Coturnix japonica: one gene and its partners. The protein of the gene in region 2 purifies or fractionates together with the protein of the main gene of each other region. This does not show direct contact. Links are inferred from orthologs where the notes say so. Each region holds a gene or a part of one and is shown on either strand. Other genes may lie near its edges. The genes, in order: CDK19, MED26, MED9 and POLR2D.

Region 1 (7,751 bases), on a different chromosome or scaffold from region 2:
CACGGCTCATCTCTGCGCTCAGAGAGCAACAAGAGAAAGGACAAAATCACTACAGGAGAGACCATATGTGAGAGCCTGTGGGAAGCACTGAGAATTACTCATCACCACTCACACGGTCCTTTTGGGCAGGAAGCAGAGCCACGGTGTAGCTGCGCTATCAGCTCTCAGCACAATTATGAAATACTAATGAGCTCTTCCTAGCTCAGGGTTTTTCATGAGAAAGCACTGCAGACAACTAGTCAGACGGGTTCCTCTTAATTCTCCTGCTTCTTCTCACACACATTAACAACACTCACTGCTAGGAAACGTTCTCAGGATTTGCACATAACTCCATGTTTAGGTTTACCTGGCTGTGCAGAGATCATATAGTGAGGCACCAACACCTCAGTTCCAGACAATGTCAAATAGTGAATATGAAGTCTGAATAATAACTTATCACAGACTCTCAAATACCTTACAAGCACATACTTGCATTGGTATACAACGTTGTAGGTACACATTCAAGACTGTATATTCCTCACCACATCAAGGAGCTGTCACTCAACAGCAAGGGCAGCTGCAGCATCCAGGCACTCATTGCCCTGTGACTGCAACCCCAGCACTGCTTGTTTGTAGCATTTAGTCAACTCTAGTGTGAGTTTCACTTCCTGACACGCTCATGCTCTATTAGTTCAGTATTTAAGTTCTGAAGAATAACAATACAGGAAAAGCTCACACAAATTACTGTTACTCCAATGCTGATTTAGAAGATTACACAGACTGCTTCTGCCTGTTCTAAGCTGCAGGTTTTCCATTACCAAAGTGATGTTGGTCATACGTGTGACCAGATGCAATCTCTGAGCAACACGGCTCTGCCTGCAGAAATCCCAGATGCCTGAGCCACACCACAGGAACGCCTGGTTTGTTGTGTGCGGCTGCTTCCCACAGCATTCCTCTCCTGATCAAGATCTTTCACATCTGCTTTGAACAGATATGATTCATAATATTAAAAAAATAATAATAATGTAAAACTAAAGGCTACTTGACAGGAAACAAAGCCAGCGTTCTTGGGTTAGATTCACACTTACTCTGACTGCAGACTTCCCCTTCCTTTCTCTTTCCATTCCCATGGCCTTTCCCTAACTTTCACTCAACCCCTGGGTGATGTGAGCACTTTGTACCAGCATTAAGAACTTGACACCCACACTTCTGCACACTGACACCACATGGAGCAGCACAGACTCCCCTTTAGCTCCAAGCCCTCGGTGCTCAAGAACAGGAGCAGATGGGTGGGCAGCTCCCAGCCCTTCTGCACACACCATATTGGACGCTGAATATTCCTGTCTTTCCCTGCACACACCCAATTTTTAAAAGGTGTTTTGAAACATGAGGATTAAAAATACTACATATTTAGGTTTTTGTTTTGTTAACTGTTGGGCTACTGCTGAACCAAGAACAGCCTGTTTCCAGTTGTCTCCTGAATCCCATCACTCCTGGTGCGTTCCTGACTAACTAACAGCAGTACTTTCCCAGCTTGCTGACATGTCCAGACACACTCCTACAGGTGAGTGCGAATGACGGAACAGAAATACCCTGCAGTGGCATGAACTGACAGACTGATCTTCTCAAAGAGTAGAGGGAAATAATGCAGACATCCTCAACACCACCACCAACAGAAAACAACAGAAATTCCAACCCACACTTTTTCCTATAAATTGTCTCCCCTGCAATAAGGAGGTACAGGAAGTCTAACTAAAAACACCATCGTGGCTGAAACTGCGAGCAAAGAAAGAGTAAGGAATGTTACAAGAGTGGTTAGGCCCTGGAACAGGCTGCCCAGTGAGGTTGTGGATGCCCCGTCCTTGGAGGTGTTCAAGGCCAGGTTGGACGGGGCCCTGGGCAACCTGATCTAGTAAATGTGTATGTTTGGTGGCCCTGCCAGGCAGGGGGGTTGGAACTACATGATCCTTGAGGTCCCTTCCAACCCGGGTCATTCTGTGACTCTATGTAATGAGAAAAGGTACGACACAAAACAGATCACGCTTCCCCAGGCACAAACTGGGGTAAGTGTACTCTTTGTTTTACTGGACAAATGTGATCTGGTGCCCAGAGAAGCATTAGCCAAGTCAGCATGCTATTCTTGAGGAGATATGCACACAAAAATAACAGGTTTTCCAGCTACATGAAGAGCTAAGTACTTAACGCTGACAGCTGAACTGCAATCACAAGGTTTATCTCTATATTCTTACCTCCACCCCTCCAAGGCACCGGTCCAGCTTTAGTGCACACTGAAATAAGCCATTAGACAGCTTACACAGATCTATTTTCTAGCCCTTCTGGGCTACAAAGATACTGAAATTCTATAAACCGGGTGCCTTACTTATCTAAGCGTATAATAAAGGTAACACTTCTAGATCTCATCAGGCCACACTACTGGGAAGGATAGTCAAGTATTCAATAAGCTTGTATGACCTGCAAATGTCAAACCAACATTGTTCAGACCTGACTACCTGTTAAAAAACACTTTAATACCTCAGTTTCACAGAAATCAATCAGCTCACCAGAAACGTGCCCAAGTGATATTCCACTCTAGGCTGAAAAGGCCAAACTCAGTTGTTACTCCGTCTAAAAACTTCTTTTATACCCAAGCCATTCACCGAGATCCAAGCAACCACTTTTACAAGCATTTGATCCACCAGCTTGCCAGGCTTCGTATAAACACATTTTACTATTTCATAAAGTTTGCGTGCCAAGTTTTTGAAACATGAAGTGACAGGCTCTCCGTGGAATTGCTTCAGAGCTGGGAGGCTCTCAGTGCCCCCAGCCTCCCGAGGCTGCAAACTGACTATGAGACACTGAGCAGCCACCATCATGCTCTGCAAATGTGAAATACTGAGGCAGACCGTGATCAGCCAAAGAAGAATTCCTTTACATGTGCCTCAAAATCCCCCAGTGATCGGCACACTATAAAAATGCATCACTGCTGAGTTTCTGGGTTTTTTTTCTGTTTTTTTCTGTCATTAAGGAACCCACAAACTTAAAGATTAATGGTAAATATGCTCCACTGCATAAAGATATTTTAGCTATCTGCTTTTTCTCTTCCCATAAAGAAATCACCTCATCTTAATGAATCTTTTAACTCGTTCGCATCTTACTTTCACCAAAGGTCCTAGAGCTACACAAACTGATTAAGAGTGAAGTTTCTGATGCCATAACCCAGTTTCCATGCTTCACAAAGCAAAACTTGACTTCTTACAGTGAAGTTGCATTTGTACCCTATTAAACTGCACTTCAATCTAATTGACCGCTTACTGAAACTTCTCACTTCCTCTCACCAGCAGGCCTGCTCACGGCTCCAGGTTTCCTTTAGCCAGTGTATCAAAGCTGGAGATAACCTATTTTTTTGCCATATTTACTTCTGATTTGCTGCCTATTTGCATTCCTAATACTATTACTTAAGGATTTTGAAGACACGTCCTTTATGGTGTTTTGTAGCATTAATGTCAATCTTATCACAACTTTCCATTACCACTGAAGGAAATGAGGCAGATAAGGTAGACAGACATCAAAAGCCTTTTTTTGGTCATAAAAACAGTAAACTCAAGCTTCTACCTCTTTTATGTTGTTCCTACGTGCAGCGATACCCAGGAAGGCTGCAAAGTTTCCTTTTAGAGTTAGTTATGCTCTATTTTTCAGGTTGCGGAGCCAGTTAGGCAGAGAAGAGCCCACCTCTCAGTGCTCAGTCCCTCACCTGAGCCAAACCGCTGACTCTTACTGATCCCTTTGATATTACAGCCACTTAACTCGCAGTTTAAATTGTTGAGCAACACATGAATGCAATTTACTCCTACATTAAAAGAAAAGTGCCTAGGTTACTTTCTGAATGGAAAGCAGCATTCCATCAATCACTTCCAGAGCTGCACAACGCAACCAAAAAGCCATTTTATCATACTCGGTCTTTTCAAAGTTCCAGCTGCCTGGGATGGAAGGCTCTTCAGTATTCAACTCCGAAGGATGCCACTTCAGGTTTATGAGTCTTTTGAGCGCGCTTAGAACACTTCTATACGTATGGCCCACGTGTGTGCACCATTAGCAGGGCACAATAAATGGAAAAACAGCCCTTCCAGAAGGATGGGGTCGGGGTCAGAGCTCACCCCTACACCGCTGCCTTTCAGAGGCCTGTGGCGGCTGCGTGCAAGGCACGATTTTGGCAACCCCAAATGGCAGCGTGAGCTCTCCAACACACAGCGCGTCAAGCCAAACATTGGACACCTTTCAGCTGTCTCTGTGGCGAGAAGGAAGATTTGGAGACACGAGCGGGCTCAGCGACCCACCCAGACCAAGCCGGCAAAGAGACGCGGTGCTCAGCCGTGGGTTACGGGGGCAGGTGGCGGATACAACCCGCAAAGGCAACGCCGCCCGCTGAGCCCCGGGGAGCAGCCGGACCCCATCCCGCAGCCGGGGCTAGAGCGGCCGCTGCGTTCCGAAGCCGCTCCCGGCCGGGCGGCGCGACCCCGCCATGCGGCCACGGACACGCGTGGGCAGCGCGGGCCCGACGCCCCCGCGGCGCATCCCGCGCACCTGCCCGGCCGGGCCGCAAACTTTCCGTCCCTCGGTGTGCGCTGGGACGGCGCGGTGGGCGCCGCGGAGCTGCCGGGTTAGCGGCCCCGGTGTTGGTGTCGCGGCCCTTACCCGTCCTTGCGGCGGGCCTTGTAGACGTGCCCGTAGGTGCCTCTGCCCACTTTGCAGCCCTCGTACTCGAACAGATCCTCCACCCGCTCGCGCTCGGCCGCCAGCTTCGACTTGAACTCGTAGTCCATGTCTCGCCCATGGGCGGGGAGGGACGGGACGGGGACGCGTTGCCGGCTCAGCACCCCCGGCCGGCGGAGCCCCCTCCCGGCGCCGCCATTTCCGGGGCTCGCGGGGGGCGGGAGGGATTTGGGGCGGGGGGGCGGTTTGTTTTTGTTTTGGTTCGGGGCTTTAGGCGGGGGGAGGGGGCCCGCTCCGCCGCCACCCGCTTCAACTGGGCTCCTGGCGGCGAGGCGCGGGGGACGCCGGGATTGGTAGTGCGGCGGCGGGAGCCGGCCCCGGCGGCGTGGGCGGGACGAGGCCGCGGCAGAACTACGACTCCCGGCACGCACCGCGAGCCGCGGCCAGGCGGCGTCTGCGCACCGCGCTCCCCGGAGCCCGGCGGCGTTGGGCGGCCAGCGGGAACTTGGCGGCTCTGAACGGAGCCGGGCGGACGGGCCGCCACGTGGAGCGGCACCGACACCGGAACAGCGCATAGAACCGCGGGGAGCGGGGAAACCAGCGGGGCGATGAGGAAACTTGTTTATCTCGGCGGCTGCCACTCAACGCTCGGCTCCACCCCCCCGCCATGATTGGACAGAGCGGCCAATGTTGTTAGATGTGCAGCCCGCAGCTACAGATGGGGATATTATGAACTACTCAGTCTGCCTAAATGCAGCAGTGACCATTTCAACGTCAGCATTAAAGATGTTGGCTAAAATTAGAGCTAACCATCCACCTTTTGCAAAGCGCAGCTTTAGTCACCCAGCAATCACATCCAGCACTGAAAAGAGAGCACATAGGCTTGCATAGGCAAACATGTCACCGCCTCAGAGAGCTGTACTGTTGTAATAATAAGCTCTACGAGATCCTGTTGCTCACTGTGACCGCAATAATAATTGTTTTCCCCCAGTCTCATCACAGATGCTCTTGTTTTCTATGTGACAGGTCTGATTCTCCTGCAATTTGCTGTGTATCTGTATCTGTTTGGAGAGGGTGACAGCACACCCGGTTACAGGGGCTCAGCCTGGCTGCCAGCTGTGAGCTGAGGCAGATCGGTTCTTCCCCATCCCGCAGAACACCCAGCTCCTCAGCGTTGCAAATGGCTGTTTTATCCTTCCTCAAACCAATCGTGCTCTGACAGTAAACACTTCACCCCTCGCTGCTGCTGCTGCTTGGAGGCTGCCCGACAGAAACCTCTCTCACGGGAAAGCCTTTTTTTAACCTCCAAACCTGCGTTTCCTTGAGACTTGTCTACATCCATCTTCCCATGCGAGTACTACCCTAACGTAGCCTTTTTTCCCCACTTGTGTGTATCCCCTGCCAGAACTGTTTACAGACTGCAATCTCATTGCCTCACAGCTTTCATTTTGCTGGACTCGAACAGCCATACTCTTCTCATTCCCATAATTAGCTCCCTACTCCCCCTTCTTTTGGTCATCCTATGCTATAGGCTTGGAAGTTTGTGAAGGCTTGTGAAGGGCTTGGAGAATCAGCCCTACGAGGAGAGGCTGAGGAAGCTGGGGCTGTTAAAGTCTGGGGAAGAGGAGGCTGAGGGGAGACCTTATTGCCCTCTTCCAGTACCTGAAAGGTTCTTACATTGAGAGCGGGGCAGGTCTCTTCTCACTAGTGACAAGTGACGGGACAAGGGGAAATGGCCTCAAGTTGTGCCAGGGCAAGTTTAGGTTGGATATTAGGAAGCACTTCTTCACAGAAAGGGTAGTTAGGTACTGGAATAGGCTCCCCAGGGAGGTGGGTGAATCGCCATCCCTGGTTGTGTTTAAGAGCCGTTTGGATGTGGTACTCAGGGATATGATTTAGCAGAGGGTTGTTAGAGTTAAGGTACTGGTTAGGCTTAGGTTAGGTTATGTTGGACTGGATGATCTTCAGGGTCTTTTCCAACCTGCGTAATTCTATGATTCTATATTTGCAAATCCTGCAAAGGAGGATCCAAGTTTAGGCCAGCTCAGAGTCCAGTAGGAACAAGATTACCTTCTCATTTGAAGACTGCAGAAGTTCAATCATCATGAGGATGAGCATATTTGTCTCATCTTGCAATTGGAGCACATGGCAAGATTCTGCTTCAAATTCTTATTGTAATTTTTCCTACTTGGGGAATCTCTGATTTCTGAACTGCCCTTTGGCAGCAACCCTGTTCTGAGAGATTGCATTCCTGTGCAAACTGCTGCTTCTTCAGATGGGTTTCCTACCATTCTTGAATTGTTTATCATTGTGTTATTCGTGTCTGTTCAGTGCAGTAAATGTTTAGATACATAATGCCTTATCCTTTGTTAACTGTGCTGATAAAGATATTCAGAAAAGTACCACCGAAGAAAATAGAAACTGACAGACTTGCAAGTTGCCAGTGTGATGTTTCTCAGGCTGACAGCCTAAGTGGAGATGAGGGGTTGTTGCTGCTTGTTAACATCACCATTTCTCCATGAGCTTTGATGGTCACGTAGTGCCCAGACTGTAGGAAAGGAAAAGTATTTCAAACAAGACTGAAAGTTGAGGCACTGAATATTCTCAGTAATTCTCTATTCAGATTCTCCTAGAGAGATAAAGCATGAATTTCTAGTGAAAATAAGAATTTGCTCTTTTAATATTTTCACATCATGAAATGGCACAGACCAATTTTTTCTTTCCTTTGCACACAAAATACAGTGTGTATTTTGTGTATACAGAAAATTCATTTTCTTTCCAGTTTGTTCTCACTTCCTGTCTTGGTAAGTTGTATTTTCTGTCTTAGCCAATCTCTTAATCTTTTCTATTTGAGTATTGGTGAGATCAAAAGTGTTTTCTGTTAAGTTTTTAGGCCACATCTGGAAGACGTTGCACACTCTCCTTGAAAGCTTCTACTTGTTAATACAGTGAGAAATTTTGGATTCTTAGGGATCAGAGACAGCATATTTCCAGTAGATCTTGAGTGGGGCATTAATAAACCTATACAATGTTTACTTATGTCTGTCACATTTGAGTTGATG
Region 2 (7,712 bases):
TATTACTTCTCAGAAGGGGTAGTCAGGCATTGCAATGCACTGCCCAGGGAGGTGGTGGAGTCACCGACCATGGGAGTGTTCAAGAAACATTTGGATGTTGTGTTGATGAATATGATTTAGCCGGGAAGTATTGGGAATGGTTGGACTAGATGATCTTCTAGGTCTTTTCCAACCTTGATAATTCTGTGATTCTGTGATTCCTCACACTCTGTTGTTCCATAAATTACTCTCTCATTTTGCTCATCTGCTTTGATCGTCCAACAAATAGTGGCTGACCTCATTTTTTGCCTATATGGGCACCTGTACTGCATGAGAGCCTCTCTGACAACATGGCATCATTTTAGGCTTGGGTATGATATAATTCAATTCAGCATCTGCAAAATCAACACAGTATAAACTTCAGGATGATTTTCATTTGGGGAGGGAAATAATGCCAGATAATAAAAACTAATAATGAGCCATGAGAATAGGCTCTAGATACTCTGCGTTGTACTTGGGATAGGCAGGCTGGCAAAATTCCTGTTTTCTTTTTGCTGCTGTAGCCCTTCAGTCTGATGCATGGCAGAGCAAAACCAATTACAGCAGTGCGGCAGCATCGTGAGCTGCAGTGCTGGTGTGGCCGCTTTGCTGTACGTCTCTCATCTGCTCTCTCTGTGTTTTGTCCACCAGGTTATTTGGATCTTGAAAGTCATCTACAAACGTGTCTGGTAACTTGGAAGAGACTCTTTGGTTGCAAACATAACTTTTCTATCAAGTAAAAGATTATAATGCTTTCCAAACACAGCCCTGGGATGGTGGTGGGTCCTTCAGTACGAGCTCCAAAGGACAACACAGCACACAGCCACCCCATTGCCAGCTGCATAATGGGTGTGTGGATCTGCAGGGCAGGGAGCCGTCCAGCCCCTGAACCAAAGGCTTGAAAGCAAAATTCATTCAACTTCACTGGGAGAGAAAAACAAACAAAAAACCCCACAACTTTAAATGGTGTTGCTCAACGTTTGGTGCCTGATGTGCAGTGGGTTGAAGGCCACAGCCGTGCAGCTCTGCGTCGTCAGTTGCTCCCATCTCCTGCTGTGTCTGCTGTCTCCATGCTGTGCGTCACATGGGAGTCAAGCTTCATTAGTGGGAAGTTGAGTAAAATATTGATGTAACTTAGGGGGAAAATAACAGTCATTTTCCCTCATTATTCCATTTCTCTTTGGGAAAGTAGATATGGGCGTCCCAAAAGAGGATTTTCACTTTTTTTCCCCAACAAATTCATTTGTAGATACAAATTTTAAGATAAGGGTGGGTTTTTTTTTTCCTAAGTAAGGGACTTTGAACAGAAAAATATCTGTAATCCTCTGCAAGTTTTGGAATCATTTTGGATTTGGTTGAATAAAGAAGTTCTATTTAAGGGTAAAAGTCCATCTGATGTTGTGTTCGTTCTGGTAAGAAATTAATTCAGTATTGGTGGGGTTTGATGGATTTTGATTAGTCTTGTAACCACATTTGGCTTTTTGTGCTGGTTTTTAATGCTAAATCAGCATTCGTGGCTGGTAACGTTTCCTAGTCACGAATGCAGAAGAGTATATGGATAAAAGAACCCTTCGGAGAGGTTTGTCCTGCACAGAGCACTTACGGCCCTTGAAATTTAACCTTAATTCGCATTTTGTGTGTGATTTTGGTGTGTGATTTTGGTGTGTGATTTTCTTGTTTTCTGTCTTAACTTCTATGTTTCCATATTAGCAATATTGGTGCTGTCTCGCCTCGTCGCGGTGCCGGGCCGGGGGTGCCGCCAGGGGGCTCAGCGCTGCCCAGCGGGTCGGTCCCGTCCGCAGCTCCGGGTTCGGGCTCTCGGTCGGCGGGTCGGGCTGCGCTCGGAACCGGGCCGGCTCCGTGTCTGCATTCAGCACACGGCCGGCTTCGAGCCGACTCGGACGGGACCGAAAGCGACGCGTCAAAAACGGCGCGGGGTGAGAGCGCCGGGAGCGGCCACGTGAAGCTGCGGGGCGGCACGGACGGATCCCGGTCCGTGTAACGTGGGGCCGGAGTCGCGTTCCCTCCGCCCCGCCCCGCTCTGCCCCTTCCGGCCCTCACACCGCTCCGGTCGCCCCCCGGCTGTCGGGCGCTCCGTCCATAAGGCCGCATTCACCCTCGGAGCTGCCTCGCGCTGCCAACGTGGGGGCTGGAGTGGGACGGGGCCGCTTCAACCGCAGCCGGCGGCGGATGGCGGCATTTCGGGCTCACGGAGCCGCGGCGCCGCGCTCCCCTCCCCCGCCCGCGCTCCTCCAGCCCCGCGGGTGACCCCGCCGCCGGGCGCACGCGCGCCGTGAGGCCGACTGCGCACGCGCGGCCGCCCCCCCTCCCGTCACGGAGCCCGCCGCGCACGCGCTCTGGGCGCCCGGCGGTGCGTGCGGAGGGACGTCAGGGGCGCGCCGTGCGTAACGGCGTCGGGCGTGTCCCATGGTGCCCTGCGCGGGGCTGGCTCCTGCCCACAGTTGAGTTCGGCCCCGAGCGGAGCAGTCGGGCCCGGCCCGGTCGCGCCGTCGCGGTTCTTCCGCGCCCCGCTCCGAGCGCCGCCGCCCCCCGCTCGGCGGGGAGCGAACATGCGACTCCGGCTCCCCGAGGAGGCCGCCGCCGCCGCCGGCGAGTGAGGAGCCGCCGCCCCGGCCCGGCCCGGCCCCGCCGCCCGCCCGCCCCGGCCGCAGCCGCCCCGCTTCGCCCAGGCAATGACAGCGGCTCCGGCCCCCTCCCCGCAGCAGATCAGGGACCGGCTGCTGCAGGCCATCGACCCGCAGAGCAACGTGAGTACGGCCCGCCGGGCCCGGGGCTCCCGACCGGCGGCGCGGGGACGCCGAGCTCCGGCCGCTCTCCGGCCCCGCCGCCGCCTCCCGCTGTGGGAACGAACGAACGCCGTGGGGCCGCGCGGCCGCCGCCGCCGCTTCTCCTCCTGCCGGGACCGCGGCGCGCCGCGCTCCTCCCCGGGCACCGGAAGCCTCCGCTGCGGGCGGTAGCGGCAGCTCCCGGCTCCGTGCTCGCCCACGGTCCCGTTCCCGGCGGCGCTTTTCCGCGCGCTCCCTCCGTGGAGCTCGGGGGTCTCTCCCCGTTTCCCCTCCGGCCGCGCTCTCCCTCCGCCCCGCGCCGTCTCCCGTCACTCCCGGCGCCGTCCGGCTGTGCCCGGCCATGCGGCGCGCGGCCCGGCGGCCTCCCCACGCCAGGCCGCGGCTCGGGTGCGGCCTGCAGGGGGCTCTGGGCCGGGCTGCGGACTCTCGCAGGGCGCCCACCTGTTCCGCGGCCCCTCCGCCGCCTCCCGCCGCAGACGCCGGGCCCGGGGCCGTCCCCGCGTTCTGGGGGCGCCCGGAGGGCTTCGAAGGTGGATCCGGGGCACTGGAGCGGCTCCGGCAGCGGGCAGCCTCGGTCTTCGCTTTTATCCTTCCCTGCAGAGCGCTAATGAGCTTATCTGCTCCTTCTGGGATGTAGAGTAAGCACGGGAGTCGACGTAGATTTTACCAGTAAGTGGTCTTCATGTGTAAGTCGTGGTAATCCAAAGTGTTATTTACTCCTTTTAAGGTTTTTTTTGGCATAGTAAAGCAGCTCTTCACATCCACGTTTACTACGGTGAGAGGACTGTGGGGTCTGCGGTCTGTCAGATTTATTCGATCTGAAATCCACATTTGCCATGGCAGTGCACAGAGCTGTGCTGCTCCCAGCTGTCTGTCGCAGGGCAGTCAGGGTGAGTCAGGCTGCAGCGTGCTGTGCTGTGCCAGGAGTGCACGAGATGGGCTCCGAGGTTCATTGGAGCTGTGCCTGCTTCTCTCTGAGCAAATCTCTCCCATAACAGACAGGTGTTGTGTTCTCCGAGTGGCTGATGAACTTACTGCTGTTTGGAAGCATCATGTAGCGCCATGCAAGTGATGTGAAAACTGAAAGATAAACCACTTTGTAATAGCCTGTTGTGATAAGCATTTGTCATGAGCTGCAGTATTACCAGCTTGAGTAACAGTAATGAATGATAAGGGTGATGGTGGGCTTTCAAGTCTCAGTTGTTGGAGTCTGTGGTCCTTTAACTTGGTAGATACGGAAACAATCTTTCCTGAGTTCTGTTTGCTCTGGGACTTGTGGCTGTGGGATTTTGGTTTTACCTTACACTCAGCATCAAGCTGGTTAAATACAGTTCTAATGGAGCAGTGGTTTCTTGTCACTTCAGACCTGCTGATGCTGGTTGCTCTGTTTCTGGGGTTACTTTCTAAAACGTTGTAGCTGTGTAGAGTTAAGAATTATGTTTTGTGATGAATGTGCTTCTTCCATGTGCGATGTCAGGTTGTGCTGTGGTGGTGGTATGGAGCAGGAGCTCTGCTGGGCAGGTCTGAGCATCAGGCAGCGCTCTGTGGGCCTGCAGCAGGTCAGTAGCCCCATAAGCTTAGAAGCAATGTATGTTAAATTATAATTCTACATACTTGATACTTATCCAGGGCAATAATTAGCGGTGGAAAAATCAGCCCATTGTTCAGAAATGCCTGTAGGCAGGGGGCTGTCTTCTATTTTAACCTCTTCTTCGAATGAGAACAGAAGTGGTGGAGTTGAGGTTCATCATACAGACTTGGACTTTTTTTTCCCAGCACATAGTAAGCAATAGATGGACAGGCAGAACTGCTGTGCTGTTTTAGTGAAAGGGAGAAAAATATGAGTTTTGAACGTTCTTAAAAGCAGATTGTGACTTAAATCTGACTTGATCTCCAATGTTGAAGTACAAGAGAGGCTGCTCTGTTGTCTCCCCACAGGAAGCAGTTGTGCAGCTCTGAGCTGCAGCACTTCTTGGTGCACAGGGAGAGTTGTGGCTCTTTTCTTCTGGCTTCTGGAGACTTTTCTTGAAAGAAGTGGTTGCATTCAAACTTAAAGCATTCATTATTGTGATTGACTTCCTTGTTTACTAAGAAAAAAGCTTTGAGGCCTGGATTTCTTTTGGACTTTTTGATGTGATTGTCGGTGCGGGTACGTGTGTGTCCCTGGAGAGGAGGGAGGGTGAAAACTGCACCAGATCTACCCAGCATGTGGCACAAGGATCAGTTTGGTGGGGCTGTGGAGGGGAGGTGGTTCTCATCACGCTTTGCTGTGGGGTGCTGTCAACTTCAGCTTTGCTGATATCTTCCCCAACACAACCCGCTTTCCCCTTGTGGATATTCAATCCAGTGGGACTGTGGAGGTCTTTGTGGTATGAGCAAATCTTGGATAAGTGTGAGGTCCTCTCAGAGAAGATCCTTCCTGTGGTGAGTTAAACAAGATGGCTCTTCCCCAGGTTGTTGGAACCCATGTGCTTTCAGAAGCTGTTCACTATTCTGATCATCTGTTTTAACCTCTGCTTGAAGCTCTGCTGACTTGGAGCGCTGCTTATATTGTACACACATTTAGCACTTGAGACCTCTTCTAGTATTTGCTGCAGAATGTTTTGATAACTTATTTTCACACACTTGGATCACTATTTATGTGATAAAGCTCTGTTTCAAAGGAGACCTGTAAGAAATAAGCTATTTAAAAAAAAAATTACATCATATTGGAAGCCACACGGGATGTCTGCTGTTACATCTCCATTTATTCAGCCTTTTCCCCTTGCAAAAACATATGGACAAACTACTTCTGCTCCATGACTTACACCCCATTTACCAGCATGGGGTCATTGGGAATGGACCCAGTCCTGTATTGGAGCAGGGAGTTGGGTGTTGTACCCCCAGCAGGGCAGTGTGATGTTCCTGCAGGGAAATCCTCCTCCTGGGAGGACTTTTTGGACAGCACAGCTGGGGAAGCGTCCGATGGGCTCTTGGAGCGGGCTTTTAGGGGAAAGGGCTCCCTGGTTCTGGTAGAAGCAGCACTTTTCTCTTTGGGCTCACTGTGCTGAGCAGAACCCCTCTGCTGGGTGAAGGCGCTCCAATGGGGCATCAGGAGTCTCATTGCCTGGTGGCAGGAATGGTGTGAGCTGTTCGCTTTTGCTCTGTGGGAAAGACTGTTAGAACTGTTCTCACAATTGCACAGGGTCCTCATCCCAAATATGTAGCAGCCTTTGTGTTTTGAATATTAGACAATAATTTAATTATTTACCATTAATAGCACTTGAAGGTGTGAGCCCAGCTCTGGTTTGAGGTCACCACCCCTCAGATGCTCACTGTATGGGTTGGGCTGCCTGCAGTCCAGGCTGCCGTGCACACTGAGCTCCATGGCTTTGCTGCTCGGCCTCTGGGAGATGTCTGCAGGCCAGAACATTAATGATGAATCCGTCTATGTGCTGTGCTATGTTACCTAGTGTTGGGTGATCTTCCAGTCTCATGGTTAGTGATGTTTCCACAGCTGTTTTCTGGGTTGGTTGGTTTACCAAAGTTCAGGCATAAAAGTGAGATCTGCTTTCACAGTATCACAGAATGACCCAGGTTGGAAGGGACCTCAAGGATCATGAAGCTCCATCCCCCCTGCCTGGCAGGGCCACCAGGCTTCCACATTTACTAGATAAGGTTGCCCAGGGCCCCATCCAGCCTGGCCTTGAACACCTCCAGGGACGGGGCTTCCTAGAGCTGATGTTAAAAGGAAGGGGAGCTTGTTCCAGGAGACAGCGCCAGACACAGCTCTAATAATATCAGTGCTGGGGCTGAAGGAAGGCAGTGCTTTGCTTTGGGAGGGTCTTGGTAATTTCTGGAGATGCAGGGAAGCATTGTGTGGGCGAAAGTAGACTAGGCATGGCTTTTGCTTCAGCTTTATCCGTTTCTGTGAGGCCCTTAATGAGCTTATCAGTTTTGAGGAAGCTGTGGTGTGCAAAGAGGATGGAACCTGCTGTACCTCTCACTGGTGTTTTTGTCTCCTTCTTGAGTGCTTCAAGCAAATCCCAACCCGCTCTGTGCCTTGGCAGCTGACAGCTTCAGGTGTGTGGGGAAACATGCAGGAGGCCATGGCATTTCTTAGCCGGGACTCCTGGCTGCTGGGGGAGATCTGGTGGCTGCAGGTGGGAGTCCTGCTGCACTCAGCCTGTTCTGCTTCTTAATGCTCTGTATTGTCAGCAGCTGAGTTTGTTTAAACCCACTGGTTTAAGGCTGGTGATGCTGCTCATTCTTTGCCCTCTCTCTCCAATCTTACTGCTCATCTCTTTCCAAAACAGCTTGTAAACTAATTAGTGGTTCTCTTTTCGCTTGCTGACTGTGTTGTGTCAGTGCCTGTGATGCTCACACTGATGCTGGGTTTAACTGCTCTGAGGTAGTGCTCACCTGGCTGGGCCCAGGCGGTTTGTTGTTGCTGGCAGCGCTGTGTTACTCCTTGAGAGGAACCTGCACTGTGCTCCTTGCAGCAGTGAGACTTAGCAGCACTGAGCTGGGCTCTGCAAAGGCAGAATCTGAGCAGAACAGAAGTAGCAGGGAGTTTGAATTGGGGGGGTAGAAGATTTGGGGCTGCCAGATTGCCTTTCAGTTGCAGTTCCTTGGTGCTGTGTAGGTGATGGCAGTAGTCATTTGCTTTAAAGCTGTAATTTGAGTGTTGGTTTCAGCAGTGGTGACATGTTAAATAATGCCCTCTCCTTACTCCTGCTACGTGCATCCCTTCTGTGAGTGCTGGTGCAGCTGTCTGCAGAATCTGGCTGTGAGCTGAAACGGGGGATCCATCTGGGTTGAAAAATGACAGAGTAGTTTTTCCTGACAGTTTTTGTTCTAGCTCAGCTACCTGATGCAATGTCTGGTGTGTCGTGAGGAGCAGTGCCA
Region 3 (7,549 bases), on a different chromosome or scaffold from region 2:
GACACCCAGCAGCTCCCAGCAGGAGGACAGAGGACAAGGAGTTCTGAGCCCCATCTGAATGCAACACAACATTCGAGAGCTTTCCATCAGCGTCTGACGAACGTTCAGTGCTGGTGTTTGTGGGAAGCCCCTGGAGCATTTCAGACACAGAACTGATCCGTCCTGCTGAGCCTGACTCGTGTCGCTTAGGGAATAACTAAAGCTGCTGTCAGTTATGCCTTTTGTTTTAATCCTACTTTTTCTGTTGTAAGAGTGGGATGCCCGGTGTGTTGCTCACCGAGTTGGTGTGGGAGCCCAACGTAACCAAAGCCCACTGAAATCCACTCCCCTGGCAGGCTCTGCTTTGCTCTCCGGTAACAAAAAGCAATGCTAAGAGAGAGGAGCAGAGCCCAGGCTGCCACATCCCAGCCCCGCTCAGCCCACGTGCACTCAGTGAATACACAAGAGGGGCAGTTTGGAGTTTCTAACCTTTACTTGACTCATCTCAAGCACAACGACCAGTTTAAAAACAGAGAGAAAAACACAAAAGCAACAGAAAGCAACCGTTCCTCTTCCAACACACTGGCTGCAAAGCACCCCAGAGACCCTTCCCAACAAACAGGCTTTCCAGGCCGAACAGCTCTGCTTCCCTTTGCTCCCTTTCAATGTTTGTCATTTCAGGATTGAGAAAGAAAAAATATAGAAAATGCCTCCTTTTTTTCCCTGTTGAACTGAACCAGCAGGCACTGCCACCTTCTCTTTTGAGAAAACCTACTGTGTTCTGCTTGCTTGAATGAAAAAAATACAGCCAACCCCAAGAGCTGCATGTATAAATGCACGCAGTCCTACAGCAGATCAAAGCAAAGGCACTGCTGTAACCATCGCATGTGAAGGACACACGAACGGTTCTGGTTCAGTGTCACATGCCTGTGACCCACACAGCCACAACGTCACAGGAACGTGACAAAAAAAAGCCCCACAAAGTAAACCTCTCCTTTCCAGCCAGGAGAAGAGGCATCCCAGCCTCAGACTGCAGAGCTGCTCCCTTCCTATTCCTTAGGGATTTCGAACATGCAGAGGCTCTTGTACTTCTGCAGCAGTTCGTTCTTGGTCCGGACCTGCTCCCGCAGGCTCTGCAGCTGCTGCTGCTGCTGCTCTGGGCTCACACCGATGCCAGGCATGGCGCTGATCAGCTTCCTCATCTCCTGGAACTTGTTCTTGAGCTCGTTCAGCACCTGGTGAACATCCTGGCTATCCTTGTCCATGCTGCAGAAGGGAGAAAACAAGAGGCATGACTCACATCTCCTGCTGGACAGACCTTCTGCCTGCTGGTGGACTGTCATTCCCAGCATGGTCAGGGCTTACGCTGGAATTCACTGGGAAACTTTTGCTCCTGGGATCTAATTCACACCTATCACAACAAAACCACCAGAGACACATACACAGATTAGGCAGCTGCTGGGACAAACTGGTTTCCTGGTCATTTTCAGCACACCATCCAGTAACCTTAATTGCAGTCCTACAGGTTAAGACCTGGTCTGCAGCTTTCAAACACTACCACAGCCTCTCACTCTGTTTCAATTCCCATATGGGGAAGGTAAGATTACACACACACAGGTTGTGTGTGGGCACCTGGGAAAAAAGACCTCAGCCCCGTCTGTGACCTGTTGTCAAAGCAATACAAGAAATCGATGCAGTCAAACAGCTTGACAGCAGAAAATAGGAATCGTTCCCCAAAGTACCAGAGTGTGTCCAATGGCAGAGAAAACGGCATTTCGGAGCTTCAGAACGACTCTCCGGGGATGTCTACCTAATAAAGAGAAGCGACAGCTTATTTTTTAAGAGCAGCACAATTGCTTCTGCAGCTCCGTGCTTCTCGAGGATCAGCGTCGTCTGAGGCAGCGTCTGCCCTCAAACCCTCATTAGTATCTGCTTCAGCTTTGTTAGCTACAGCAAGGAGTTTTACCATTCCAGGCAAAGGCGAGACTGCTTCCAAGGCAGCGCTAATAACGAGAGCAGGCTGCTAACGGCCCCTGTAAGCTGGGAGCCTGTTCAATAGCCAGGCCCAAAATAAAACTGCTTGGCATGACCAGGGCAGAGAGGTGCCTGATTAGAACTTTGGGGAATCGTGACACGACTGAGAGCAAAACTTTTAACCAGATGGTCCCGTTCATTTCAACAGCCTGTTGGAACAAAATATTCATGACTCCCTTCTAAATAAAACCGCAGCTGGTACTATAATGTACCCCCATTATGCAGGCGTTTACGGTCAAGTTGACAGTGGAAAAATACAGGCACACACACATTGCACATCTGGGAAGGATGGGTTGGCATTGCCTTTAATCCACACGAGCTGCATGCTGGATTCAAAGGGCCGACCAGGTCCTTCCACAGCTCGTTCTCTTCTCCACATCCAAAGAATGGATGGTTGCCTGGTTGGTTGGTTGGTTTGAAGGAATAACTATTTTCAGGCTTGTTGTTGTTTTGTTTCTGATGGGAGTTTTCAAGTAATTGAAGCAGCTCCTCTGCAGGCATGGAAAGGCAGGGGGGAGAGCAAGAGTGGGAAGAGGTTCAGCTACCTGCAGTTACACAGGATTAAATGCAATGTCCAGCCACAGCCTCACAGTGCTTGGGATCTCCCTTCAAGGACTGAGATCTTCAGACCCTCCCCAGCTGCCCACCAGCTCTCCTTCACTGCTGTGAACAAATCATAACTCCATCATGTCCCACCTGCAGCTCCTGGATACACCAGCACAACCCACCACGCACAGGGACCTCACAGGTAACCTCATCTGATTATACAAGGGTGAAAGTAACAGCAAGCCCTGCCTGGGAGAACTTTCTTGGGACTCAAACAACAGGAAGGAACACGTGTCCTTGAATGTAAGCAAATGTACGCGATACATCACTGCACCCCAGCACAGTCACCTTGGAGATGTGAAATGTCTTCAGGGCTGAGTCAGTGTCAGAACAGCAGGGCCGGGCTGTGAGCCTGGCGGCGGCGTTAAAGGATAATACGTTTGCCATCTGTCAGGGACATGAGGCAACTCATCCCACTGCTCGGCTCTGCCGTCTGACCCCTCTGCAGTGCTGCTCTGAGCACCTACGTCTGCTCACCCCGTGCAGGAAATGCTGTGTGCCAACCTGGGGGGGAGCGGGGCAGTGGGAGTGGGTGGCTCAGAGGGACAGGGCACAGGATATCCCAGCACTGTCATTGTGGGTCGCCACGACTTGCTTGGTGACACACAGGAGGCTGGGAGGTCTCAGCCCGTGGATCTGGCTCACTCTGGCTCTGCACACATATACAGATGGCAGCAGGTTCAGCATCACCTCTGGATGGATCAGGCAGGGTTGAGCACAGGGACAGTGGCAGCGCAGGGGGGAAATGGAGGGTGGGTTTGAGTTCTCATAGCTCTCCTGAATCTAGGAGAGCTAGATTCTAGGCTGCCGTGTCTGTGGGGTATTCGGCCTTTCCTTGCCATGCTCCTCCAGCTGCATGGTTAATAAGGGTGAACCTCTTCTGGGTACTCAGACACACAGAACCCCAGCAGGAAACAAAGCAGCCTCAGCTCCCATAGAAGCGTGCAGGGAAAGGGCAGTCAGACCCACAACAAGGAGTGGGAATTCACGCTTCCTGTGCCCTCTGCATCACTGTGCAACGTGCCCAGGTCACAGCAGGGCGATGCCCCTACCGGGAACTCAAACATTTCTGACAGGGTTACCCTGGGCCACAAACGCTGGTTGTCAGGACCCTCGTACGAACACCTTTAACCCCACAGCATTGATTTTGAACAGGAAAGAGGATGACTCAGCCTGCACAAGCCTTCCTCTTTCTCCCAACGCCCAGAAACAGACAGTGCTGCCCTGGGACTGCCCGTCCTTTACTTATCAGCCCATCAGAGCAGCAATACGGGGCAATAACAGCTCGGCACGGCTCCTGCTGCTGCACACCCGGCCCTGCCCCACCTCGGTGACCCCAACTACGGGCCCGGCTCAGAGCAGAGCAGCTGCCAACCCCCCCATAGACCCCAGCGGGGAGAGAAAGGGCAGAGGGAGCATCCCTGCGGGGTGATGCCGTGGTGAGGCCGGCCCGGCGCTGTGCGGCCGCCGTTACCATTTGATGATGTCGTGGACGAGCGGCAGGAAGGAGAACTCCTCCTGCGCTGCTGCCGGCGGGGCGGGCGGCGGTTTCTGCTCGGTGGGCGGCTCGGCCGGCGGCGGCTCCTCGGCGGCCCCTCGGCCTGCGGACACCACCGAGGCCATGGCGGCCCCCGGCGCCGAGCAGTGACGGAGCGGGGCGGAGCTCGGCCGCTCTGTACCGCCCCGGCGGCGGCCTGGGCTGAGCATCAGATGCTGCTTGTGTGTGGGGCTCAGTTTGGGCCTGGGCAGGAGGTTGGGGTGTGGGGATGCTGCGGGCCGTGGCCTGGGGCTGAGGCCTGGGCCGGAGCGGGGCTCGGAGGCCTCCCTGGGTCCTGGGCTGTGAGGGTGGGTGTGGGGGCTGAGCCCGGGGTCAAGCTTTGGGACTGGGTCTCAGATATGGGACTGCACTGCTGCTGAGGTGTTCCCCAGCTGAGCCGGGCCTGTGCTCCCAAGGCAGTGCCCTGCACACCCACACTGAGCACCCCACAGTGTGACCTACAGCATCCCTGACCTGTGTGCAGCCCAACTGTTCCTGGCTGTCCTCGTTGGAGAGGAGGGCCATGGAGATGCTGTGAGGGCTGGAGCACCTCTCCCATATAAAGGCAGGCTGAGGGAGTTCAGCCTGGAGAAGAGAAGGGCTTTCAGGGCTTGGAACTGGAGAAACCTGAAGGAATGGAGGCAAAAATCCAGCAGCAGGGCTGAGACATCCATGAAGCTGCAAGGAGGGGAGAGGTGGGGTTCTTGGGTGCCTGGGCTGTGAGTGCAAGGGGGTGATGGAGAACACGCTGCATGGAAGGTGAGGGTGAGCAGTGCTGCCCCTGTGCACCATCAGGAGTGTGCTTCAGCAAACTGCTGCTGCCGCGTTTAAACCGCTCTGTCAATACACACTATTGTAGCACTGATAACAGCAGCCACAGTCGTGAGTTATCCTTCCTGGATTGGCTTAGAGAGCACAGATAATTTTGTTTTTTATTTGAATTCAGCTCCCGGGTTCATCAGTTAGTTATAGCCCAGGGATGACGGGAAAGGTAATTTTCATTTTAAAAAACAATTTCTTTTGAAAAGCGAACTATTTATGTATCAAATGAGAACGCTGGTAACCGTTTGTGCGTATGTATTATTGACTGCTCGCTCTAAATATAGCAGATGCAATTGTTCACATTGTTCTACTGTCAAGAATAGATCCCGGCTTGGTCACCAGTTCTGGAATGTGCAGGAGAGCCCAGGGGTGCCCAGGACCTGCTGAGCAGATCCCTGCGGGAAGGCTGGTGGGATTCATGGCCCTTGACTGAACCAAGCAGGAGGTACAGGATGCTAATGCCTTTGTGTGGGGCTGAGCAGAGAGGTTCATTTCTGCACGTCGTTTTATGGGCTGTTTCTAAAGCAAGACTTGATTCAGGCTCCTCAGGGGTCATTTTATTCTGTGCTGTGCTGGTTTTAACTCTCCCCTAGACTTTATCAAGGAGTGTGGCTAATTGCTAGGCTGCTGGATGCCTGCCTCTCATGGGTGAGTCAGGCAGTCATTAGAGTAGGTGACAACATGCAGATACCATTCAGGCAGAACTACAGCACTGTCAATCAGAATTTCTTTGTACCATTCCGTTCCCATTTTGGTTCACGTGTTCCCACAGCAATTGGAATCTACAGCTTTGTCTCAGTGGTGTTCAGCCCTGTCTGCCTCACACCTTCCCTTCCTCATGAGAACAGCTCCTTCAGGTGACCCATCTCCATCCTTCAGGGCTGGTTAGGCATGTTCATGTTTTGCAGTGAGGAAATGGTGCCACTGGCTCCTCCATCACTGAAGACACCAGTGAATTGATGGGACCAGAGTGCACAGTTACTGTTTGAATGTCTGCCTGTTGTCTGTACCATGACTGGTGTGTCCATAGCCTCGGTGAAGACTTCAGGGAGGGTAAAGACCCAGCTGACAGGCCTGGGAAGGAAGAAGAGGTTTTTTGGGCCAAGGAGCACTGCCCTAATCTTCAGCTGCCCTTACAGTGCTCCAAGCTGTGAGGCCTTTATCCCTGTGAGATGGTGACCTGGCTTACATCTTGTGATGAAGTTCCTAATGGGAAGACAACATACTCAATATGATCTCTGCACTCTGCAGGTCTCCATCTCAGATGGGAGGGCTGTGTCTGGCTCTCTTGCTGCTCTCTCGTGGAGGTCTCCAGACCTTCCATGTCTTAAAGCCATCCCATACACTTTATTGCTTGCCCTACCATTTGGTTAATCCGTTATCCTAAAAAACGACTGATCAAATAAAGTGTATCCAATACCCCTTATTGCCTGTTTCCTTACAGTACCAGTCATCACCTCCTTTTTCCCCCTGTCTTTCTATACAAATTACTTCTCACGTCTGCTTCCAAAGATAATTTCAGGAGGGGGGCTACCAGCAGTTATCTAATTGAGCACCACACAGCTCTGCATCTCACCAATGTTCCCTTACAATGACCTGACATTTCTGTATGGATGATCTGGCATGTCACCAGGCTCTGCTTCTCTCTGCCAGGCTATCTGGAGCTGCCTGTGCCATTGCCACCAGCTCTGTTATCATTTTTTATTGTGTGGCTATCATCAGGTTGAACTTTATCTCTTTGTCCTGCCCCGATAGCTCATTGTCAGCTTGAATTTTCTATCTTAGGCTTGCTGAGCTGCTGCAGTGGGATAAGTCTGTACTGCTGAATGAGAGAGATGGTGTTGGGGTTGTGGCCACCTGGCATGGGGCGATAGGAACAAGAAGTAACAGCTCCTCTGGGCAACCAGCCTGGGGCTGTGGTCAGCAGCACAGGGACTCTGTCCTTTTGTCCTCAGAGGTGAGCCTGCAACTGCTGAGATTCCTAACCAGCATCCCCCTATATGTGACCAGATGGAAGTTTGGCCTTCGGATCTGACCTGTCTTGAATTCTGGTGTCATTGAGGATCTGTTTCAGGGCTCTGGTGTCCCCAGTTCTCTGTGGTGTGTGGATAGAAATGGGAGGATCCATAAGCTGAGCATCACCCAGACACATCCAAAGAACTCTGGTGCTTCCCAGAGCTCACCTCACTTTATCAGGGTGACCAGCTGCAGGGGAACCCGTGTGCCCCATCACAGGGTATAGAGCCATCGGGTGACACATCAGAGTTGCTGTCCTTGAGGAGAGTGGCCACCTCTCCCAGGGAGCCCAGCCTGCAGGGACGAGAGGTGGCACAGAAGTGTGGGCTGAGCTCACAGTGGCTCTGGGCTGGATGTCAAAGCTGTAGGGCATTGGCCTGGCCATGAAGGCCAATGCTTCATTACAGTGAGCCTCGTGGGGGGAGAAGAGGGATGATTCAAGGGCATGGGGAGTGTCCAGCGATCGCATGATGTTCGCTGATGCCACCCCATGCTGAGTAAACGCGGGGACCTGCCTGGGCCACAATCCACCTCGGGGGAAGTTTCCAGGCCAAT
Region 4 (7,228 bases), on a different chromosome or scaffold from region 2:
TTTTTTCCAGTTTTAACAAACAAAGTACAGAAATTCCCTAGATAACAGTGCTGCAGCTGGAGCCACTGAAAGTGAAATATTCCACATGGAACTACCTCACTAAGAAGTTAAACTGCACTTTTTCATGCCCCTACACAACCCAAACCTTGCTCCAGCATATTTCTCAAGCCACTCAGAAGAGTGTGGCATCTGCAAGGGAAGGGAACAAACCAGGCGCTCTCTCACTCCCTACCCTGACCAAGACTTCTTTCTGCTGCAGCAAACTACCTCTGTCTCAAGTTCAACTTACAATTCCCACCTTATTACTGCTTTTGCTCAGCACAAGTTTTCAATTCCAATGTATCACAGGGTAATGGTTACTGCTGCTTTGTAGCTGCCATTCTTTTACATCTTGAAATTGTTGCAGCGTATGAAGGGCTGACACTGTGGGTAACAGTGGCAAACTTCAAATACCAGGCACAATCATCTGCTAGAAGATTTCAGCAGCTCAAGGAGTTTATTAGAATCATAGAATGGCCCGGGTTGAAAAGGAGCTCGTTCCAACCCCCTGCTGTGTGCAGGGTCACCAACCAGCAGCCCAGGCTGCCCAGAGCCACATCCAGCCTGGCCTTGAATGCCTGCAGGGATGGGGCATCCACAGCCTCCTTGGGCAACCTGTGAACAGTGCGTCACCACCCTCTGGGTTAAAAACTTCCTCCTAATACTCAACCTAAACCTCCCCTCTCTCAGTTTAAAACCATTCCCCCTTGTCCTCTCACTGTCCACCCTCACAAACAGCCATTCCCCCTCCTGTTTATACACTCCCTTCAAGTACTGGAAGGCCACAATGAGGTCTCCCTGCAGCCTCCTCTTCTCCAAGCTGAACAAGCCCAGTTCCCCCAACCTTTCCTCATAGGAGAGGTGCTCCAACCCTCTGATCATCTTAATGCTCCTTCTCTGGACTCACTCATTAAAGGACATTTAGATACTGGCACTGCTGTGCAGAGAAGTGTGGGTTCCCACCCCTGGAGGTGCTCAAAGCCAGGCTGGATGGGCCCTGGGCAGCCTGAGCTGAGGGAAAGTATCTCTGACCACAGCAGAGGCTGGGACTGGCTGGGCTTTCAGGTCCCTTCCAACCCAAGCCAACCTGTGATCCTATGGTAAATACACACCAGATAATCAGTTAATTCTCTATAGCTCAAAGATTTTTCACATGTCCCTGATATTTCTCTATTTATTTACGAAAACTGACTCTTAATCTGGTAATTTCATCAGCTTCTGAAACAGTCCCATGGAGGCAGGTCAAGTCAAGCCTAACTTTTGAGTTCTAGAGCAGCTGGGCAGAAAACTCCAAAAACAATAACAAAATCAATTAAAGACATGCCAAATTAGTCTTACCATGCTGAGGCTGCTTAAATTGTTTGTTCTCCGGAATCTCATAACTACCCATTAGAAATACTACAGCACAACCAAACAAGATGTCAAGAAGCCGACTGTAAATAGAGAGCTTATTATTATACACTGCTATATTAAAAACAATGTATTTTAACAGAACTCAATTCTGCAGACTGGTAATTGCAGAGAAAGAAACCGTGGGTACTTTGACACAACCCTGATTACATACTGTACACTCTCTCGCAAATACGCATGTGGAAGTGCCTTCATTAAAGGAATAACAGCTTCGAGTTAAATCAGGTACAAAGGGAGAGAAAACTGTTGCAAGAAGGTTGAAGGACTGAAGCTCACAGATTCCCAACCACTACCCACAAACGAACACTAAAGATGCAATAAGGCACAGACCCAACGGTACAGAACTACTTACCTACGGCAGTTTTTGTAAGACTGAGACGCTCACATGAGTATCACTACCGCAAAATACCATATTTCGAGTATACAAATATCTAATCTTAAAGAAGCAGCTAAGAGTCAGCAAGGGAGAAATAATGCGCGCTTTCACCAAGTTTAGCAAGCAGAAAAAAAGACATTTTCCTAATTTTAAGACGTTATTAGTAATAAATTTAACTGAGAAATCACCACCATCGAAATGACCCACCGTGCGCTTACACAGCCCGCCCAGCTCCCAGGGTAGGTGAGCGCCTGCCGCACGTGGCTGTACCTGCCCGCAAAGCCCCGCACCCACCTCCGAGCAGTGCCAGGCCGGCACCCCGCAGGCCCAAGGAGGAACAGCACGAACTGGGAGCGGGACAGACGCTCTACTCAGGCCCCAGCAGCCGCGCACGGCGCAGCGCTGCCCCACCACAACACGGCGCTCACAGCCCACATCCCTCACCCCGCGGACAAGGCCGGGCCCGAAGCGCCGCGATCCCGCCCCGCTCCAACCTGAGCTCGGCCTGAGCTCGGCCTCCCTCCAGGGCCAAGGCCTAAAAATGGCGGAGCGAACCGCGCTCTCCGAGCCCCACTCCCGCCTCACACCGCACCCAGCCGAGCTCACCGTCCAGCCGGCGTCTCCCACCGCGCCCTCGCGGCCCCGCCGCTCGGCTCGGCTCGGCTCTTCGGCCCCGGAAGCCGCCGACGCCGCCTCACGATCCCCCGCCGCGGCCGGCCGCCATCTTCCTGCCCCCACCAGCGCCAGGGGCGGCGCATGCGCACCACGATAAGACGCTGAGCGGCAGGGAGGCCGCTCCACAGCCTGCGCATGCGCAATCGGAAGCCGCGCAGCCCTCAGAGCGTCCACCTTGTCCCAGTACAATCAGTGTATTGCAGAGATCTTCATAAATATGACAGAACACAGAAGCTTAATTAGAAATATCTTTTAATATCTTAGAAACATCTTTTTTAATTTACGCTAAGGGGAATAATACAAAACAACTGAGCGTATCAGGGCAGCTTTTGGTGCTCAGCTTCAGTACTGGAAGCTGCGTTTGGTCTGAATATCGTCAAGAATCTGCTGTAATTCCTCATCTTCAAACCGGCCCTCGAGGCTGCAAGGTAAGAACAAGGTGGGTACATTAAAGCTCGTAGGAACAGCCTCCCCTGTTCCCCTCTGAATTCATTTCACACCCATGCAGAGCCTCCTGTTTATGTGACAGAACTCCAACCTTCCCACAGCTCAGTGTGGAATGATTTCAAGTCATTGTACCAAAAGGTCAACCCGGGTGCAGGCCTCATGCTCATAAGCCAGTCCAGATTTGCTATGAAGAATGTGAGCAAAATACCTCAAGTTGTACCAATGGAGGTTTCAATTAGAAAGAATTTCTTCACAGAAGGGGTGGTGAGGTGTTGGAACAGGCTGAGCAGGGAAGTGCTGGTTGCCTTTTGTGGAGGTATTCAACAAACGTTTGTACAACTTAGAAGATTCTATGAAATCTTAGCATACAAGGGGAAAGCTGTACTTCAGATGAGTGTCTCATTCCTCCTCTATCTCAGGGTACGAGGTAACAAATGATGAGACGACACTGGAAGATCTCCCTGCCCCATCTGCACATTGTCCACCCAGCGGTTCAGAGGGACACTGCTGTTTGCTCCAACAACAACCAACAAACGCAGCTGGCTGGGCTGACAGCCCCAGTCTAAGCCACTGCCCAGAGATGTGCTGGAATCCCCACTTCTGGAGACATCCAAGGCCAGGCTCTGAGCAACCTGACCCAGCTGTGGGTGTCCCTGTTCACTGCAGGGGAGTTGGAGCAAATGGCCTTTAATGGTTCCTTCCAACTCCACGATTCCATCACTCTTAATCCAGTAAATGTTATCTAAAGTGCGTTAGGGATATTTAGATTGCTTCACTGTCAGATCAATGGGTAAGTGAAGAAAAACTGAGATGGAAGGTTTTCCCATCAGCAGAGCTGGATTATGGAGGAGGCATCTGTCCATGGGCAGCTTTACATCACAGGGCAGTACACCACACTCCTTTTAGGTATATAAATGCTCACCTGGGAATCAAAGCTTTGGCTTCCTCAGCAGTCTCAGGGCATAAATTGGCTAAACACGCCAGTTCAAACTTATGGAGCTTCTTCTGGAGCAGCAAGCTGTGAGGAAAGCCAACAACAAGACAGATAAGCAAAGCAGCATCAAGGCAAGCAGACAGCACACAACTCTGCTTTTTGACACTGCATCCAAGTTTATGAAGGAAGAAACATTACAACAGTGGATAGGTAAAAAGACAGACACAGCTGTGGGAAGCCCAGGAAACGTCAGTAAATCTCAGCTCCATCGAACAAGGCTGATGTTACGTATCACAGCCCAAAGCCTCGCACCCACCTGCGGACGCTGGCGATGGTCTCCCTGTTCTTGAAGCGGCTGAACCGCGCTGTGTAATTCAGGGTTTTCATGAAGACTTCGGACAGCTCCTGCTCATCCTCCGCGCTCTCGTTCTGCTGCTTGCGATGCTCCAGAAGCATATGGACCTCTGAGTTCAGCAGGGTTTCTGCCGTTTCGAATTCTACGTTGGAACAAGCAAACGTCAGTGTTTAAAACACGGATCCAAACAACAGCACGAGGTGTCGCCGCGCACCTTTGGGGAAGACGAGCTGCGAGGCGTCCTCCTCCACATCCGCAGTGCGCGGGTCGCTGCCGCCCGCCGCCATTGCTCACCCGGAACTGGAAGACATGGCGCCCGGAAGCGCAGCGCTGTGAGTGCCCGGCGCCCAGCAGAGGGAGCGGCGCCTCAGGTGGCTCCAGCTGCGCTGCACGGCGCTGTGAGCACCCAGCGCCTCCATCTTGATGCCTCTGAGGGAACGCAGCGAGTGATGGCTCCAGGAAACAACCCACAGCAGCATTACTTCTGGTGCAGTGTGGTAAATACATGGAGGTGTGTGTGGGAGGAGCATGGATGGCAATAGCAGAACACAATAGAAGTAAGGTTCCCTTCTTTGGCCTACTCAGGAATAATCCATAGACAGCTTAAAGCTTCAGGCAGGCTGGAAATGAGTGGGTTCGTCCTGGCACTGCTAGCAAAGTAGTGTTTGTAGTAGTACTTTCCCTTGGGAACACACATGAAAGTGCCCAACCAGCTTAAGACTTACAGTAATCATCTTAGGCTGCACAATGTCACCCCATGCCCTTAAAGAAATGCAGAAATAAATGGCTGGAGGATTCACTGTGAGGCCACTCCTGCTCTCCTAACGCACATCTGTGCCGGCTGCTGTGCTTCCTGCACCCTGCAGGTGGGTGAGCTCCACCAGGAGCTGCAGGATCAGATCTGAGCTCCTTAATGTTTGTTAACTCCAGACGAGCGTGGCAGAGAAGCGAACTAAAAACGAATTAGCTGAGTGGTACAAACAGAAAGACACTCAGGAAGATAGTGTGGAAATAGAACATCTAGTGAATGAGGCTATTTCAATTACGTTTACAAGAAAACAAGGAAATCATAGAATCATAGGCTGGCTTGGGTTGGAATGGACCTCAAGGATCATAAAGCTCCAACCCCTCCCCCCCCCACCACCACAGGCAGGGCCACCAACCTCCATATCTAATACTAGATGAGGCTGTCCAGGGCCACATCCACATGCCAGATTGATGAGAGAAGCCTTTTAAAATCATTTGGAATCCCAACAGCTTCTCACATACCCTTTCACCTCAGAACATCCTGATCTTCAAGCAGTAGGTAGCTTGCAGTCTTGGTTACAAATTTAACATCTGTTGTTCCCCAGTGATCTCTCCTACTTAAGTACATGAAAACTGAAAGGATTCGGGGAAAGCCACATACCTACAAGAGCATAAAGGTACAGCCAAGGAGGCGGTGGTGGTGGCTAACAGCTCCCTGTCACTGCTGTGCTTGGTTTCAGTCTCAGGTTTTAGACATGAGCTTCTGTTGCATAGTCCAGGGCAGAAAGTGTTGGTTGGGACATCAGTGGTTTATTAAATAGATACTCTACAGCAATTCCTTCCTTCCCTCTGAAAACAGACCCACTAGCAACTTGAGTGCAAAAAAACAGCTATTACACACACACACACACACACACACAAACAACAAAAACAAAACCCCTTTAGCTAAACATCTGTATAGTAAAACATAGGAACATGTAATAAATACATTCCATTATCAGCATTGCTGAATTTTGTAATGTCTTTCCTTCCAGCAGCTCTGGAGCTTTGTCGCAGTAATTATCTACCTAGTGGGCGTGCCACAGACTGACTTTTATTTAGAAAGCAGGTTTTGACTGAAGGTAATAAGATCAGAACACTGAGACCTTAATCTCTTCTTGTTGTCAGCAACATTTTTAACATGTGCTACATCAAAATCCATGAGCAAAATCCCCCACTTAGAAAAACTGGTGTCAAAATGGCCATTGTTGCACAAGATTTACATGTTTTTTTAATGTGTTCTTGAAGTATAAATATCCAAAGTTTTCCTATAATCTCACTTTCCATTTATCAATTCCTTTTAAAATTGAATAATAAAAATACAGTGGATGAGCATAAGAGCAATACAAAATTGTATCCACACACCCAAATGCTGACAATCTGAATGCAAAACTGGCTTTGACATAACACTGATGTTTAAATATATATATACAGTATCTAAGCACACTCTGAACTGGCTGTGCTGTGTATCATTCCGTTTGAGAGCAATACTTACACATACAGCTCAGTGTGCACATTAATAACACTGAGTAACATGTTCTGTTTTTAATGGTTGTCTCTGAGACACAGCATTTCTCAATCATCATTAGATACTTCATATAAACTTTGTTCAAAGAAAAAATGTCTATATTCTGCTAGGAATAAAAACAAGTGTTATTCAGCTGAAGTTTCTTGTAGAGATTTCTCCCAGGCATTTCATCATTTGTTTTTAAGAGTTTTTAATCAGTGCAAAATGACTCATTAATTGTCTTTTTTTTTGGTGTGTGTTTCTTTTCAAGCAGAAGTAAAACCAGAAGGAAGTGCTTTTTGGAGAGCAATCCTGGAATTATTTCAGCACTTCCTTCTGCCTGTGCTCACCTCCACTGTGAGCTGCTGAGGGTTCCTGCAGCCGTGGAAGCAACGTGCAGACAGGAATCTCCAATGGAAGACACAGGCCAAAGATTTTGTGCCTGTCTGCTTCAGTGTAAAGTAAGGAAAAATATCTATGCCATAAAGTGATACAAAGCATAGATCAGTGTATGTACCCTAGTTAAAAATGCAGATGAGAAAGCATAACTGATAGCCAATCAGGGCACTTAACAGCAGCAGTTGCTGGTTTTGTGCTTGACATCAGGACATACAAGTCACCTGCAGATCGGGGTAGCTACAGACTCCTTAACTCACTCCCTACTTTGCATAAGGGACATACAAGAAATAAATTCTTGCA

Evidence for each region.
Region 1: the proteins of MED26 (region 2) and CDK19 purify together in Homo sapiens (affinity purification with mass spectrometry; 4 studies listed by BioGRID and IntAct, with this or other methods). This does not show direct contact. The link is inferred for Coturnix japonica from reciprocal best matches to the Homo sapiens genes MED26 and CDK19.
Region 3: the proteins of MED26 (region 2) and MED9 purify together in Homo sapiens (affinity purification with mass spectrometry; 6 studies listed by BioGRID and IntAct, with this or other methods). This does not show direct contact. The link is inferred for Coturnix japonica from reciprocal best matches to the Homo sapiens genes MED26 and MED9.
Region 4: the proteins of MED26 (region 2) and POLR2D purify together in Homo sapiens (affinity purification with mass spectrometry; 3 studies listed by BioGRID and IntAct, with this or other methods). This does not show direct contact. The link is inferred for Coturnix japonica from reciprocal best matches to the Homo sapiens genes MED26 and POLR2D.

Annotation. Positions count from the first base shown.
Region 1 is NC_029518.1:60,395,397-60,403,147, reverse strand, and holds the start of CDK19 (cyclin-dependent kinase 19), read right to left. Parts: upstream 5,009-7,751; 5' UTR 4,800-5,008; coding exon 4,672-4,799; intron 1-4,671.
Region 2 is NC_029543.1:3,342,876-3,350,587, forward strand, and holds the start of MED26 (mediator of RNA polymerase II transcription subunit 26), read left to right. Parts: upstream 1-3,532; 5' UTR 3,533-4,261; coding exon 4,262-4,384; intron 4,385-6,462; exon of another isoform or gene 6,463-7,712. Other genes in the region: SMIM7 (small integral membrane protein 7), read left to right, coding at 670-685. UniProt on the Homo sapiens protein: Component of the Mediator complex, a coactivator involved in the regulated transcription of nearly all RNA polymerase II-dependent genes.
Region 3 is NC_029529.1:4,802,079-4,809,627, reverse strand, and holds MED9 (mediator of RNA polymerase II transcription subunit 9), read right to left. Parts: upstream 4,278-7,549; 5' UTR 4,243-4,277; coding exon 4,094-4,242; intron 1,246-4,093; coding exon 1,029-1,245; 3' UTR 450-1,028; downstream 1-449.
Region 4 is NC_029524.1:1,663,188-1,670,415, reverse strand, and holds POLR2D (DNA-directed RNA polymerase II subunit RPB4), read right to left. Parts: upstream 4,579-7,228; 5' UTR 4,524-4,578; coding exon 4,451-4,523; intron 4,379-4,450; coding exon 4,198-4,378; intron 3,966-4,197; coding exon 3,870-3,965; intron 2,922-3,869; coding exon 2,843-2,921; 3' UTR 2,736-2,842; downstream 1-2,735. UniProt on the Homo sapiens protein: Core component of RNA polymerase II (Pol II), a DNA-dependent RNA polymerase which synthesizes mRNA precursors and many functional non-coding RNAs using the four ribonucleoside triphosphates as substrates.